Caenorhabditis elegans: one gene and its partners. The protein of the gene in region 3 purifies or fractionates together with the protein of the main gene of each other region. This does not show direct contact. Each region holds a gene or a part of one and is shown on either strand. Other genes may lie near its edges.

The links.
Region 1: the proteins of mif-4 (region 3) and R05C11.2 fractionate together in Caenorhabditis elegans (co-fractionation; one large-scale study listed by BioGRID). This does not show direct contact.
Region 2: the proteins of mif-4 (region 3) and Y54E5A.2 fractionate together in Caenorhabditis elegans (co-fractionation; one large-scale study listed by BioGRID). This does not show direct contact.

The regions. Positions count from the first base shown.
Region 1 is NC_003282.8:2,056,820-2,061,088, forward strand, and holds R05C11.2 (DUF38 domain-containing protein), read right to left. Parts: upstream 2,293-4,269; coding exon 2,177-2,292; intron 2,129-2,176; coding exon 1,384-2,128; intron 1,338-1,383; coding exon 1,059-1,337; 3' UTR 559-1,058; downstream 1-558.
Region 2 is NC_003279.8:14,692,505-14,700,291, reverse strand, and holds the start of Y54E5A.2 (Recep_L_domain domain-containing protein), read right to left. Parts: upstream 6,139-7,787; 5' UTR 6,123-6,138; coding exon 6,053-6,122; intron 5,978-6,052; coding exon 5,703-5,977; intron 4,972-5,702; coding exon 4,740-4,971; intron 3,849-4,739; coding exon 3,754-3,848; intron 3,708-3,753; coding exon 3,590-3,707; intron 3,117-3,589; coding exon 2,945-3,116; intron 2,852-2,944; coding exon 2,824-2,851; intron 2,348-2,823; coding exon 2,169-2,347; intron 1,537-2,168; coding exon 1,434-1,536; intron 1,387-1,433; coding exon 1,289-1,386; intron 1,043-1,288; coding exon 791-1,042; intron 307-790; coding exon 245-306; intron 87-244; coding exon 1-86.
Region 3 is NC_003282.8:6,334,730-6,337,605, reverse strand, and holds mif-4 (Macrophage migration inhibitory factor), read left to right. Parts: upstream 1-1,611; 5' UTR 1,612-1,618; coding exon 1,619-1,678; intron 1,679-1,722; coding exon 1,723-1,851; intron 1,852-2,180; coding exon 2,181-2,357; 3' UTR 2,358-2,376; downstream 2,377-2,876. Other genes in the region: blos-2 (Biogenesis of lysosome-related organelles complex 1 subunit 2), read right to left, coding at 2,639-2,676, 2,723-2,827.

The DNA of each region.
Region 1 (4,269 bases), 4.3 Mb from region 3:
GAATTCCCCGCCCCCCGGATCATTTGCTCAATTTCTTCTATGAATTTATTGATTTTTTTTCAATCACCCGGCTTCTTCAATTTTTCTGTATTTTTGTGATTTTTTTCGAATTTTTTGGTTAAAAATTCATCATTATTCGGTGCTTTTTCTCATGTGCTTCTTTCAAAATTCTTCCATGTTTGTTGGAATATATGGAATTTTTATGTAAAAATCTTCGATCTCTGCGCTTTTTGCTTCAATAAAAAAATTTAATACCGCGGAAACATTCGTTTGAAGAAAATTTCTTAATTAAGAAAAAGTTCAATTATCACCTTTTCCAGCAAGTTTCCAGCTTGAAATTTTTTATTTATTTAATTATTCAATCATTTCTCATAGTGAGACTTATTATTGATTTATGCTTTCATTTTGTCAAAGTGCGTCCATTTTGTATATATATATATTTTTTTTTTTTTTATGTTGCACAATATTTTCAGGTTAAACAAATATTTAGATACATTTAACTTTACCGTAAAATATGAAAAGGTGCACAGTAAATTGAGAATAATTAAGAAATAAATGTTTAAATTTATTATAAGTGAATTTATTTATTTATAAAAATAGTACGTGAAATATCTATATCCACGCCATTAAAAATTATATTTAAACGTACAAAAGATTCATGCACATGAAAGTATTGTTTAAATTAGGGTTCCCAGCTGAGTGAGGCGCAAAATGCGGGCCTCACGCCGGCCTCACGCCGGCCGGCCTTCGCCTTCGCCGTTCGCCGCTTTCAATAATAATGACGTGAATTTTAAATTTTAATTTTCAAAAATTCGTTGAAAATTTAGAAAAAAAATATAAGAAATGAAAATAAAAGTTTATGTGTAATTCAGTGAAAGGCGAGAGTGACGCCGTGAGGCCGGCGCGGCGACCGCTGAGGCGGGCGAAGGCGCCTTTGCGGCGACCTCATGGGAGCCCTAGTTTAAATCAGGTGAAAAATTAATATTTGAAAAAAAAATCATTAGGGACAACTTTTCGTCCCGTTGGCGAGGAACAGGGAAGTGACCTTTACAACAGCTCTAGCACCTAGCCGGACTAGATTCCCTCGGAATAGCCGGACTAGATTCCCTCGGAATACGATTAAACATGAATTTTTTAAGATTTTGATAATATCGAATTTGTAGATCATCTGTGTCGTTCATGCAATTGAAAAACCAAATGCTAGGTTGATTATTTGTAGAATCGGTAACTATGCGAAACGGAATTCCCAAAAATCCTTCTTGAAATATAGAATTATTTACGTCACTGTTCACAAATGTGACCTTGAACTGGAGAAAGTCCGGTGAAACTAGGAACATCTGAAATTATTTTTTTTTAAAAATTACATGAGATATTCGAACTCACATCTCTCAAATATATAACATTTTTCAATGATAACGAATCCAAAATTATGTCAACTTTTCTGAAGTGAACAAGATTTTCAACATCACACTTGATAACACGCTTAATAATTGTCAACTCTTTCGCATTCCTCCATTGTTCCATGACCAAAAACTCTTCAATGCTCCATACATCACTTGCAGGTACGTCGAAAGATGTTCCAAACTCAATTTTGTTCAGCTTAGAGGGATCCACGGATTGGAGCAGTTGCACTATGGTTTTTTGGTTTCTTGTTGTGACAACCAACTTTTCCACTGGCAGCAATCGACCCAGCGAGGCGTGCAAATCTTTGAACGATTTCAAAAATCGATTCTCATTCTGGTCCCAGATTGAATGACTTTCTGTTTCCTGGGGATTCCCCTCAATTTCATCCATGTATTTTTTTTCTTCTTCCGTAACATCCTTGAAACTTGACTCGCTGGTTTCATCAACTTGCATAAAATTCATTTTAAGTTCTTCCAAAGCAGATTTTTGATTTTTCAAAATAAGGAACAAGTCGTTTGAAAAGTTGCCGTAATCCAACTCGCTAGATTTTCTGGATAATCTTGAAGCCTTATATGAAACTTTTCGGTTTGTGGATTCGGTAAACATCTCAAGAAGTGCGCACCCAATGCTTTGAACATGAATGCCGATTTTGAGTAATTTATGGTCTGGTTTGATAAGGTCGATGCACTGACGGCTTCCATAAGAAATTTTACGGAGCACTTGTCTGAAAAAATAAAATTCAAGCTAAAAAAAATCAAAAGACTTTACATACATATCAAAAAAATCGAGACGTTCAACAACGCTGTTCATAATCACAGTGTTGTAGAACCACAAAGTGCTTGATATCGATGAGCCAGAAACTTCAGACAAAAGCTTCGTTTCATCCATTGTCAGCTGCTCTAGCTGGTTCTGAATAGTTGCATTGTTAACAATAATTTCGTTTCGTGCAAGTATTACACTGTAGGAGAAATAAAATATGCCTGTTCTGTGCTAACTCTAGCTTTTTCTCGTGTCGGGCCATAAATTGAGCAAGATTTTGGCAAAACTTGGTTTAGGTTGCTCTTGATCTGCCACTCTTATCTAATTAGGAAATAATGTTAATTGGACATTAAAAAAGACAGAAGTGAAATGGAAGATCAGATTTTTGGCTACATGAGTTTTTTTGGGGTTACCTGGAACTTAGCAGAATAAAAAAGAATTTAAAAATGATTGCAATGTTCCTATTCGTGTATTTTTTTTTTTCGAAAGTTTTCGAAATTTTTTGTGATGTCTCATTATGAAATTCGGTGGTTTTGGACCAGTTTTAGTCTATTTAAGCAAAATATCCACAAACTCTACTCCCCCTTTAAGTTGATTCACAATTTGGAGAAAAATGCAAATTTAACGAAAATCTGAACTTTTGCCATGATGTCAATGTTATGCCGCAGTGACCGAAAGTTGAAATAATTTAATTCGCACTCTAGTTTGCATGTGGTAATTGGTACATTCAATTTCTAAGTCACAACATCTTGACAGTTTTTCCACACAGCAGGACACACGAATTCTTTTTCAGCATCAGATTTTGTCAGCTCCAAAACTGTTGTACAGGCTCACCTGCTAAAGGTCACTCTCTCGCAAAATATGTAGGAGGCAGTTATATTGCCTGTGTATCTCTACAAACTCAACTCTCTCTATACGCTCACAGGCCACTCCCGTTGTGGGGGAAAAACGGTCAAGATGTTGTGACGTAGAAATTGTAGGTACCAACTATGCTCACTTACCAATTATCAACATGCATAGTCGGTACCTTTTCACTAGTCAAGAACATTGATCACATAGAGTCTACAAATTTTCTGACCGAATATATGTTAATTGGAAATAAAAGAAAAGAGCCAAACTTTCGACGCTTTCACTAATTAAATAATTTTTCTGGGCTTCTTTCCGTTAGTTTTTCGTTGTTCTTTTTGTTGCATAGATTGCATAGCAAAAATAATTTATTCATAGGAAAATTGACAACTGACAAAATTGCCGAAAAAAAATCTAAATAACCCCTATGCAAATTTAGCTATTTACCTGTTAAGTTTTCCAGGTTTTCATAAATTCCCCAAATCCAAGTACTGCTCTAAAACAAATAATCTAAAAATTGTCCAGCTTGAAAAACAAATACCCATCTTCCCAACGTCTTCCAGGAAATTCTAACCGCAATAATATTTTCCTGCATTGCATCCAGATGTTAGTTATTGGAAATATATGAACATGCGAAACGGAAACCAATATTTTCTTGGAACATCTTAAAATGAATGAGATTAGTTTTTCTTTGTATAGAGCTTCTTTACACCTATTACCCTACTCATATGAGTTGATTAAATGTATGGGTACTGTAAGGGTACGGTAGTTAAACTCAAAACTGAACTGTTATTATAATTCTTGCCTACTAATATTTACTGTTGAATTTAGTCATTACGGCCCATTTTCTATTATTTAAAGCAAAAAAATTGACTCTACTCCAGTGGTGGGCGGCAAACGATTTTTTCCGGCTAATCAGCAAATTACCAGAATTGAAATTATAGGCAAATCGGCCAACCAGAAAATTGCCGATTTGCCGGAAAAAACACTTCCGGCAAATTGATATCCGACAAATCGGCAAACCGGCAAATTACCGGAATTCAAAATTCCCGGCAAATCTGCAAACCGGCAAATTGGCACAATTGAAAATTCCCGGCAAACCGGCAAATTGGCCGAATTGAAAATTCCCGGCAAATTCTCTAACCGGAAAATTTCAGGCAAGTCGATTAACCGGCAAAGTGCCGGAGTTAAAAATTTCCGGCAAATCAGCTAACCGGAAAATTTCCGGCAAAGTACCGGAGTTAAAAATTTCCGGCAAAT
Region 2 (7,787 bases), on a different chromosome or scaffold from region 3:
ATTAACTGATTTAAGAGTTTTCTCCAAACGCCGTGTCTTCTCTCTGTGCATTAAAATGACGGCAGTGACGAGAAGCAGGAAGAATGCTGAAAATGTTTTATTATTTTTGAGCTGATTCTTTTTTTTTGAAATTCAGCATTTTACTTTCATTAGACGCGATAAGTTTTCAGAAGTATTAAATTATTGGAATTTTTTGTTGTAAATTCTCACTATTTCAATTTTAATTTTCTTCAAAAACTCTTACCAGCAATTGCCAGCGCCCAATAGAATACAGTATTTTGTATTGCAGAAACCTTCTCGTCAACTCTGAAAGTTCGAAATTTGTTATCAAATATATATTCCCCAAAATTCCAAATTCCATGAAAAGCCTCAAAAAATTCTGTAAAATCGATATTTCTGAAATATCCCGAAAATTCTAAAATCAAAAATTTTTTTTAAAAATCGCATTTTTTTGAATTTTTAAACCTTAAAAAAATTTGAAATTTTTCCGACGTTTTTTCGGACGTTTTTCAACTTTTTTTTTAACTATTCAGACTTTTCCAAAAATTATTTGGCAATAAATCAAACTCCAGGAAATTCTGGAAAATCGATAAAATTCCATTATTTTCAAAAAAAACATTAATTTCCCAGAATTTTCCCAACTAGTAGCAATTTTCGAAAAATTCTGAAAATTGAAAAAAATCGAAATTGTTAAATGTTATAAAAAGTTTCAGGGAAAATTGGAAACATTTGAAAATTGAAAATCTGAAAAAGAAAATCTGAAAAATTCCCAAAAAATTTCCAAACTCACTTTAAATTATGAAAAGTGATTCGAACCTTCTTCCGTTCCTTCGCCAAAATCAAATCAATTTTCATGTGCCACGTGGAAAAGTCAAGAATGAGTAGCTCGCCGCCACGTTGCACGGTTCCCTGCAGCAGACACGGGCGGTTCTTATCGTATTTTTTGGGTTTTCGAAGATCAATTCTCCATTTGGCGGACGTGGTTCGCATATCGTGAACTTCTGAATCCATTCGGATACGGAGATGTTGGTGGGCTCCGACGCTGAAAAATCGATAATTTTGCTCCTGATGATGTAAAAGCGCTCTATCGAACAAGTAGGCATTTTTGTGGAATCGATAATAAAAAATCGATATTGTTAATATCGATTGTTCCAGAAAATTTTGCGATAGAGCACAATTGCATCCGATTGACAATAATTTCCTAATCAAATTTAAACATGATCGAGTCCTTATCAATGTCTCCCATTTTGCAATTGCGCTCTACTGAACTAAGGAAGCAAAAACCCACGTCACTTTCATATTATCCATTCCAACGAGCACATCGATAAATTGCACTTGCTGACACGAATCGGAAACTTGCTCCTCGGATTCCACGTGGACGTCTTCCTAAACGTAGGTATGCCTACATGCCTGCCTGTCTACACTGAACTTACCATCGAAATATTGTGGCACTTGGCCCACTCGTAGCAATTCGTCTTTTGAATATTCGACTTGCAGGACTCTAATTCGATGAACATTCCAGACGTGAATTTGTGCCTGGAAACAGCAGTCGTATCAAAAAAACTGTTAATTGCCAAAATGTAGAGAATTCGATTTCCTATATTTTGTCCATTTACAAAATTTCATTAGCTTTGCTTTCCGCAGAGTTATAAGCGTTTTAAGTTTGCAAGGTAAGTGAGAGAGTGTGTGGCGAGGGGAGAGCGCAGACACCGCAGAAACTTTAAAGCGGTGTATCTCAAAATTGAAAAATGCTCAGAATTTCATGCTCTACAAGATGGGCGAAAAAGATTTTGAAACTTTGGAAAAAAAAAAGTTTTTTAGCATTTTTGAGAAAAATTTCAGCGGGCTTTATCTCGGTGGTAATAGGAGCTACATAAAAGTTGTCAACTAACAATTTGTAGAAAATTTTATGTAGTTTATTTTATTAATTAAAACAAATATTCTGCCTCCCACCCACGCAAAAATACACCTGTTTTTATGATTTCTGTAGCTCCGAATCCGTAAGAGCTACAGAAAACTTGTCAACTAGAAATTTCAAGCAAATTTAAAGTAGTTAAGTTGATTAATTGATACTTTCTTCGTATCTCATTTTTGCGCAAAGATATGGGGGTTTTAAAGAAGCTTTTAACCACCTCCCCTCAAAACCTAAAAATTCCCTTTCAACTTACCCAGCAGCCTTGTTAGCTACAATGAACTTTGGCACCAAATCACTTCGGATATCTCTTAAAATATCCTCAAGCACAATTCTTTTCAACAATGACGAGAACAATGGAATTCCCTGATGAGCATACGGAGGGATTGAGAGCAGTCTGTGAAGTTGGTTCAGTGACTCGCTGGGTTGGTTGGGCTGGAAATTGAAATGGTGAGAGGTGATGGGAATTGTAAAACGAACACTTTGTAGAGAATTTAATTTTCTACAAGTTGCTATCATAGATAACAACTTTTTGATATCAAGTATCTGAACGGGATTAGACAGGTTTTGGGCTAGTCTTCTGGGGGAAGTGAAGCGCTATCTCAAAACTCCTATAACTCGGAGAATTTTGTAGGTGCCAAAAAGTAGTTAACTAAAAGTAGTTAATTCTATAAAGAATCTAATTTGCTACATTTTGCTAGCTAACAATACTTTGAGATCTTACATCTGAACGGAGCTAGAAAGCTTTCGAACTATCTTGGAGGAACTCCTGTATCTCCGCAAAGTTACCTAGCTATCAAAAAGTTGGTAATCTGTAGAGAAATTAATTTCCTACAACTTGTCAGTTGATAACTATTTGGTAGCTTGTACTATTACAAAGCTACAGCCACTTCAAATAACTTCCATCTTACCTGCGCTTCCTTTTCCATTTTCCACTTCCTAATCGACAAATGCCCAACTCGGGTGCGAGCGGAATATTGATTTTCATTGAAAATTTTAAATATGTACTAAAAATAAGAGGTGAAAACTGACCAATCACTAGCAGTCTCATAATCATGTCCACAGATTGAGGTGGGACAGCAGCACGCCGAACAGCAACCCCAATCATCCCAGGAGATGAACAATTGAATATTGTTCTTAGTGTCGTTCACAGAGTTTATTGAAATTTCCAGAGACTCGTAGTTTTCGTAGGTGAAGATTTTATCTGAAACTGTATTTTCAATGGAATTCTCTATATTTTGTCATCTGTCAACTAATTGCCAGAATTTTGATATCTTCCTGATAAATTAAAATGAAAGGGTTGTTAACTAGGGATCCATAAAGAACGTTATATGGATTTTGGAATTTCTGAGTTTTTTCCTTAAAAAATGATCACACGAAAAAGTTGCCAACTAACAAAATATGCTCATTAAAATTCTATACATTTCGGCAGTTGACAACTCTTTGATAGCATTCCTCTGCGCAAAGTTACAAGCTTTCAAAGTTTTCCCAATGCGAGAGTGTAGAGGAGAAGGAGAGCGCTGGCAGTGTCTGCACTCTCCCCCTCCTCCGCGCTCTCTCGCTAATAAAACTTCAAAGCGGGGTATATCTCGGCGGGGAGTAGAGATAGAGAAATCATGGAAAACGAAGAAAGAATCAGAATTTGAATTTCTATACGATAAAGTCAATAAAGCTTACCATTCTGCTCTCCGTCCCCAATAATATCCTCATTCACAAAGTTATAGCTGCTCACAATTTTACCATTCAACTCAATTCCACACATTGTAGTAAATCCTTCAATTTTTCGAGAATGAATCTGTAAATTTTTGAGTTTTTCAGAGAGTAAAGTCCTGGAAACCAACCGCCAGCTCTCCATTGGGGAGCCCTATAGCTTCTCTGTCGGTTTCAGTGGCTCCATGCTCTCCACTCCATCTTGTCACCTTTCCAAAATGCAGGTCTGTGGAAGGTGTAGTTTGGCAAAAGATATAAAAAGGAAAACGGCGTCACAGGGACTGGAATCAAAAATGTGCTCACAATAATTTTCAGTTAATTTGGCTCAATTTCGGGATGATTTACAGATATAAGCTAGTTCTAGATAAACTATACAAGCTTCAAAAGTACTAAGCTTAGGGTTTTTAATGGTACTACATTATTTTAAGTATGATGAAGCTATTGTTTATGGTGCATGATTTGTGGATTTTTAAGCAAAATAGCCTGTAAAATTTTGTAAAGAAAGCTCCATCGGCTGCTCAGATACGAGCTTAAACACCAAGTGGCACCAAAAAACTTGCTAAAAGCCATTTACAACTTAAAAAAATAGCCCGCTCAGTAGCTTCATGTCGGGCTTAAAGGTCATAAAAAGTTGAAAATCAAGCTTTTGCAGGTTTCCAGTTATTTCGATGATATGAAAAACAAAAATTACACCACCAAATTACTACATTAAATGTATTTTTGAAACTGAAAAATTTTATGCTTCTTGAAAAAATGAGAATTTTCGGCGAAATTGTCGAAAATCGCAGGGGGGGGGTCCCATAGCAGTTGGGCGGTCGATTTTTCAACTTTTTGCTCTTTTGCACTCAACTTTTGAGATATCATGATAAAATTATAGATCCATAGGTTTTTTGGTATGCTGATTCCAATTCCAATACTAGTTTTCTATAAAAAAGTAGCTGTTGGGTGCACTGTACCTACTAAGCACCTTAGGAGTACCCTTGAGAGATAATGAAGGCTTGTGATATGTATGCTATGCTTAACTAGACTCATTGAATTCAGAAATAAATTTCTGATACTTTGAGGGTAATTTCAGCTAGTTCGTCTAATTTTCAGCCAAGTTAAATAATACACTCACTATTAATTCTCAAGTAATCCTGAAAATTCGAGACACGTGGCTCCTGTTCACAATCCTCCCGACTACAATAGTGCAATAAATTATTGATTTTTCGAGAGCCGATCGTCAATTTCGTGAAAATCTGAGTGAAATCACGTTCCGGGAATACGTAGTACATTTGATGGAGACCTTCAATTATCGGATGACACGTGGCACATTGCGGTTGGTACGGGAGGCCCGCTTCGCGAGTTTTCTGCAAAATAACGTTGATTTTGATGCAGGGGCAGCGTTTTCTGGAGAATTTAAATATCGGGGGAAGGCGATCTCAAAAAAAAAGGGGCGGGAAAAACAATTGAAAATTTACGCTCCGCCCCTATAACAGGTCTAAATTTTGAACTTTTACACTCAAATCTACAAAATTTTATAGAAAAAAAACGGTTTTTTTCATGTGAATAAGCCCGCAAAAGATAATAAAACACGTGGTCAGAGTGTCCCATTTCGGTGTGATCTTCAAAAAATGCGGGAATTGAGTCGCAGATTTCTCAACAAATTTTGTAAGTGTGCTGGCGACACATTTTACTGGGCAAAAAATTTCCGCATTTTATTGTAGATCATTCAAATTTACGCTACGCCTCTATAACATGTCTAAATTTTGAACTTTAACACTAAAATCTACAAAACTTTATGGAAAACGCCTGACACCACGTGTAAAAGTGCGCTTCACCAAATTTATTTTAATCATTTTTTTTTCTCTTTTGCTCATGAAATGAATTTGCTCACTAGAAACATATAAAATCTAGCAGAAAAACAGCTGCATTTGTCTATGATCTTAAAAATTGATTAAAACTGGTCTTGGCACGATTCGCGAGTGTGCAAACGCGCTCCACCGAACTTTTGCCGTTTTTATAGATTTTTAGGCCCGAAAAGCTAAAATTCAACAATATTATATAAAAATTATCGAATAAATAGAAAAAAAAATTAAACCTGAAAAATGCGAAATCCAATATTAAAGAACCCGTTAGAATCACACAATTCCTTTGATATATGAGGAATTCGAAACGCCGGATTCGATATAAAATATGGTAATTTGTGATAAATCGTCTGATTCCCATTTAACCATCCCAGTGAGTCGAATTCCAAGATTTTTCCGTCGAATAGTATATTGTTGTACTTGTGAACGTTCAGGTAATTCTCAAATCTCCACGTGTCTTTTGATAATGGAATTGAGGAGTACAGGGAGTAGAGTTCCGCTCGTCTTTCTGAAAAAAAAACAGTAGATTTGAGACTTTGCAGAAAGGGGCTGCAAACGCGCTCCAGCGAAGAGGTCTCCTTACCAAACTCGATAACAATTCCATGCACTGTCGAAAAAAGCATAAGTTTCAGAAAATTGAACAACAAAACCATGGTTGGTTTGGAGAAATGAAGCAGATTGATTTTTCAATGGATTTAAAAAGTTTTTACGTGATAAATTATTTTTAAAAACATATTTTTTAAATAAATCGTATCGAAAATTTAATTAAAAATTAAATATACCCCGTGAAATTCTCTACATTTTGTTAGTTAAACACTTTTTGATAGCATTTCTCTGCGTGAAGTTGTGAGCGTTTGAAGTTTTTTGGGGTGAGAGAGTGTGGGGGAGGGCGAGAGTGCAGAGAGATATACTGCCTGCACTCTCCTCTCCCTCCACGCTCTCAACACCGAAACTTAGAAGAGGTGTATCTTTGCAGAGAGGAAAGATACAAAAATATTGTAAAAAGGAAAAATGTTCAGAATTTGATTCTCTATATATTGCAATAAAAACAAATTGTTCGGAGTTTTTTTTAGTTTCTTGTTTTTTTTTCCTGAAATTCAAACTAAAAAGTGTATTTGAGCAGTGTTTTGCTCTACAAAGATATTCTGCATTTATTGGGTAAGAGCCAAAAGTGCCATATCTAACCGGAAGCTTATTCTACCAAATTTTACTTAACTAACAAAATATACGCCTTGAAATTCTGTACATTTTTGCAATTTACAATATTTTAATTGCACTCCTCTGCTCAAAGTGACAGGCGTTTTAAGATTGGCGGGTGAGAGAGCGCGAGGGAGGGGGAGAGTGCAGACACTGCCTGCGCTCTCCCCCTCCCCCACACTCTCTCACCCGCCAAAACTTCAGCGTGGTGTAACTCGGCGGGTAGGAAAGATAGAGAGGTAGTGTAAAAGACAAGAATGTGTAGAATTGGATTTTCTACTGGATAACGTTTTGAGTTTTAGCATTTATGAAATTTATGAAAAATGAATGTTTGAATTTGAATTTTCAATTTTTAGTTTTCCAAATGATATTTCATAATGTTTCCGTCTAGTTTTCATTATCAATTTCCCTATACTCTACTGTCTGAAACTGTTTGTTTTACCACGAAAATGACCAATACCTAGTGAATCATTGGAAAAAAAGAGCATCGCTTCCCTCTCCCGTCTCGCTCTCAAAACACACACACACACAGTTCCTTCCTTTCTATTTGCATGTATAGTTGCATTCTCTACGCAATAAGTCCACCTTTCCGTATGTGTGTGCTCCAAGAGCAACGGAAACTGGATTCAGGTGGTTGCTAACCAACCAATTTCCCCCTCTGGCTTTTCATCCTATAAGGTTTCCAATTTATCACTTTTTGTCTCAGAGAGCATATGTGCCTTTGAATTTATTGAAAAATATAAATTTTTAGTTTGAAAATGTGCAACCTTTGCTAGATGTTTTGCTTTAAAAAGCACTCGCGCTATTTTTTACTTGTTTGTGCGTGGTTTTACGAATTTTTAACTAAATATTTCTTAAGCCCCCTATATCTTCCTGAAAAATGAAGATATCAAAATTTTCTCAGCCAACAAAATATTCTCCTCAAAATTCTCTACATTTTTGCAGTTATCATTGTTTCTCTACCTCTTTTTTCCACAGAGTTACACGCGTTTCAAATTCGACGGGGTGAGAAAGTGTGGGGGAGGGGAGTGCGCAGACACTGCGCTCTCTCCCTCTTCCACACTCTCTCGCCTTCAAAACTTTGAAGCGGTGTATCTCTGCAAGTAAGATAGGTAGAAGCA
Region 3 (2,876 bases):
TTTTTGCGCCAGATATACGGTAGCCGGTCTCGCCACGAACAATTTTAGTTAAATGCGACAAGGTCTCGGTTGTTGCGGAATTTTTATAGAATTTCATAGTTTTTTAGACAAAAAACACTTTTATTTATGTTTAAAACAACTCAAATATAACAATAAAACGCATGAATTCCAACAAATCGATGCTACAGTAATCTTTAAAGGCACACGTCTTTTCACATTTCCTATGCTTGTCGTGTCGAGACCGTGTGCCGTATTTCTGGCGCAAAAAACAACAAAATTTCGCTTTTGAACAATAATTAAATAAAAAAGAAATTTAAAAAATGAGACGTGGGAATTGTATACGGTTAATTTCAAAGAATTCACGGGAAAATTCATTGAAAAAATTCAAATCTCAGAAAAAAAGTGAAGAGTGAACAGTTTTAGAAACCTTGTCAGTTTGGAAAACTACGTGATAACTCAAAAGAACGGAAGAAAGTTTCTCACTTTTCCGTGTCTCTCTGTAATCTCTTGACAAAGCCCACTATTTCAGGCCATCAGAGAACAGGGTCGGGAGGATCACGCCACTCGTTTCAACACTCAGTAGTCCACAGCTTGCACTACCCACATTGTTTCTCCGTCTGCGTATCCACGTCTTATGTTGTCTCTCGCATTGTCTTTCTATTTCTGAGTCTCTTGCACCTCTCTGTCATCATGCATATATACAATTGAAATGGAAAGGACAGACTGCACTAAACCGAAAAGCACGTGGTCTTGTCTGGGAGGAGAAGAATGTTGAAGACAAATCACACGACAACGTGATATGTGACGTCACAGAGGGGAGTCCCCACGTGACAGGTACTTTAATGAGACAGAGAAAGTTCGAAATGTTGAGTCACGAATCGCGAACGGAATTGAGCCGAGTGGAAAAAAAGAGTTGGAAATTTCGAGATGAGCAGCCAGCTGATTTAGTCTACAGTAATCTAGAATAACTAAACAAAAGTTTTTGAACCTATTCCAGCTTTATGAGTCATGAAAAATGGAGCGCAGCAATAAAAATATGGTGTACGAATTTCAGGAAATACTTCTCGTTAACAAAGATAGTTTGAAACTACAGTACTGTTCAAAGCGCTGACATGGTTGTGTCTAAGAAAAATTGTCGTACCGAGACCTGGTACCGTATTATTATAGCAAAAATCGCGAAAATCTGCATCTGAATAATATCAACTACATAACTGAGATCGTGGCGAGACCCTAATGAAATTACGATAATATAAATAATATTGATTCAAAACTGTGATTCTTGCTTCTAGTTGTTGCAACACATTCTGATCTGTGTCTCCCTAACCTACTTCCGATTTTCACCAAAAAAACCGTGTGCCCAACCCAAAATTCAAGGTCAAACTTATTTCCATTTCCCCGTACTAATTGTTTCCATGTCATCCCATTTCTGTCCATCCTGCGCACATAACATTGACAAATGGAGTTGTGTATTTATTGTCGAGTGCACGCTCTTTTCTTCGAGCGACATGTTTTCTCAGCTGGCTGAGCATTTTTTCCCGTTGGTTTTTATGTTGCGAAACGACAATTTCTCTTTTTTTTAAAATATTTTCAAGCCGAATTTCAAAATTTTAGAATTAAAATGCAAGTTGTTCGAATTCAAACCAACATCCGAAGTGCTGATATTCCAGAAAAGTTTGAAGTAAGTTTGCATAAAACGAAATTTCTAATTTCTAATATTTTCAGCAAGATGTGATCTACAATTTATCAGTTGTAATGGAATTACCAGCTGATAAATTCGTGATTATTGTTGAGCCGGCAGTTAGAATGAGAATTGGATTTGAGAATAAAGAAATTCCAGTTGCAATTGTAAATGTGCGTTTTTTTTTATTTTGAAAAAATATTAGGCTTGGGTCTTGTCACGTGTAAAATTTTTCAGCTACAGTAACCTGTGTATTTTTCAAAATCTGAAAACTTTTTTATAATTAAAATTTTTTTAATCGAGAAGAAATGTGTGAAAAATAGAAAAACTAACTAGATTCATAAAATATAAGTTAATTTTATGAGAAAAATATTTTTAACTAAAAAGTGATAGAATACCGGGGTACGGTAGCTGACAAGTTTTGGACGTGCCGGGACCAGAGACCGTGTTTTTTTTTTTTGAAAATGTCAACTCGTTGAAAATTAAGAATAACAATTTTCAGTTCCAAACAACCCGGCCTTCTTCTCGAATCGAAAATGACTCATATGCAAAAAAATTGACATCAGTGCTCAATGAGCAGTTGAAGCTTGATCCCGCCCATATTTTCATATCATTTGATTTTAAAGATGCAAAAAGTTTTGCAACTCAAGGGAAGACAATTGCTTCTTTGTATGAATAAATTTGTAAAAAAGTTGAAACGCATGGATTTAACAATGAAGTAAACATCTGAAAACATCGAAAAAAACAAGACAAAGCATAATTCATAAGTTATTTTATAGCAAAAGGGAGGGAGCAAAATTAGCATTAATGAGAAATAGAAACTTTGACAAGAAAATGTAAAAATAAGTTATGCTGAATATAATGACTAGAGTTACATAAATTATTGAACGGAATGTGAATAAGAAATCACACATTAATTTAGTTACAGAAAAGCTGGAAATAGTTTGAGATTGAGCTGGCTTATTGGCTTTGCTGTTGGATGTTGGTGAGCTTGGATTCTGAAATTAAAAATCTTTGAATTTTTTCTTGAAAGGCTTAACCTACCGAGTTGGGTAACATAATTTTCAAGAACAGCGGTAGCTTCCTCCAATCTCCGGGTGCTCTCATCCATAGCATCAATTTGGGAAAGATATGGACGCAGATTCTCGTCTGGAAAATAATCTTTCATAAATTTTCCGAAATAAATAATAAAGGCATA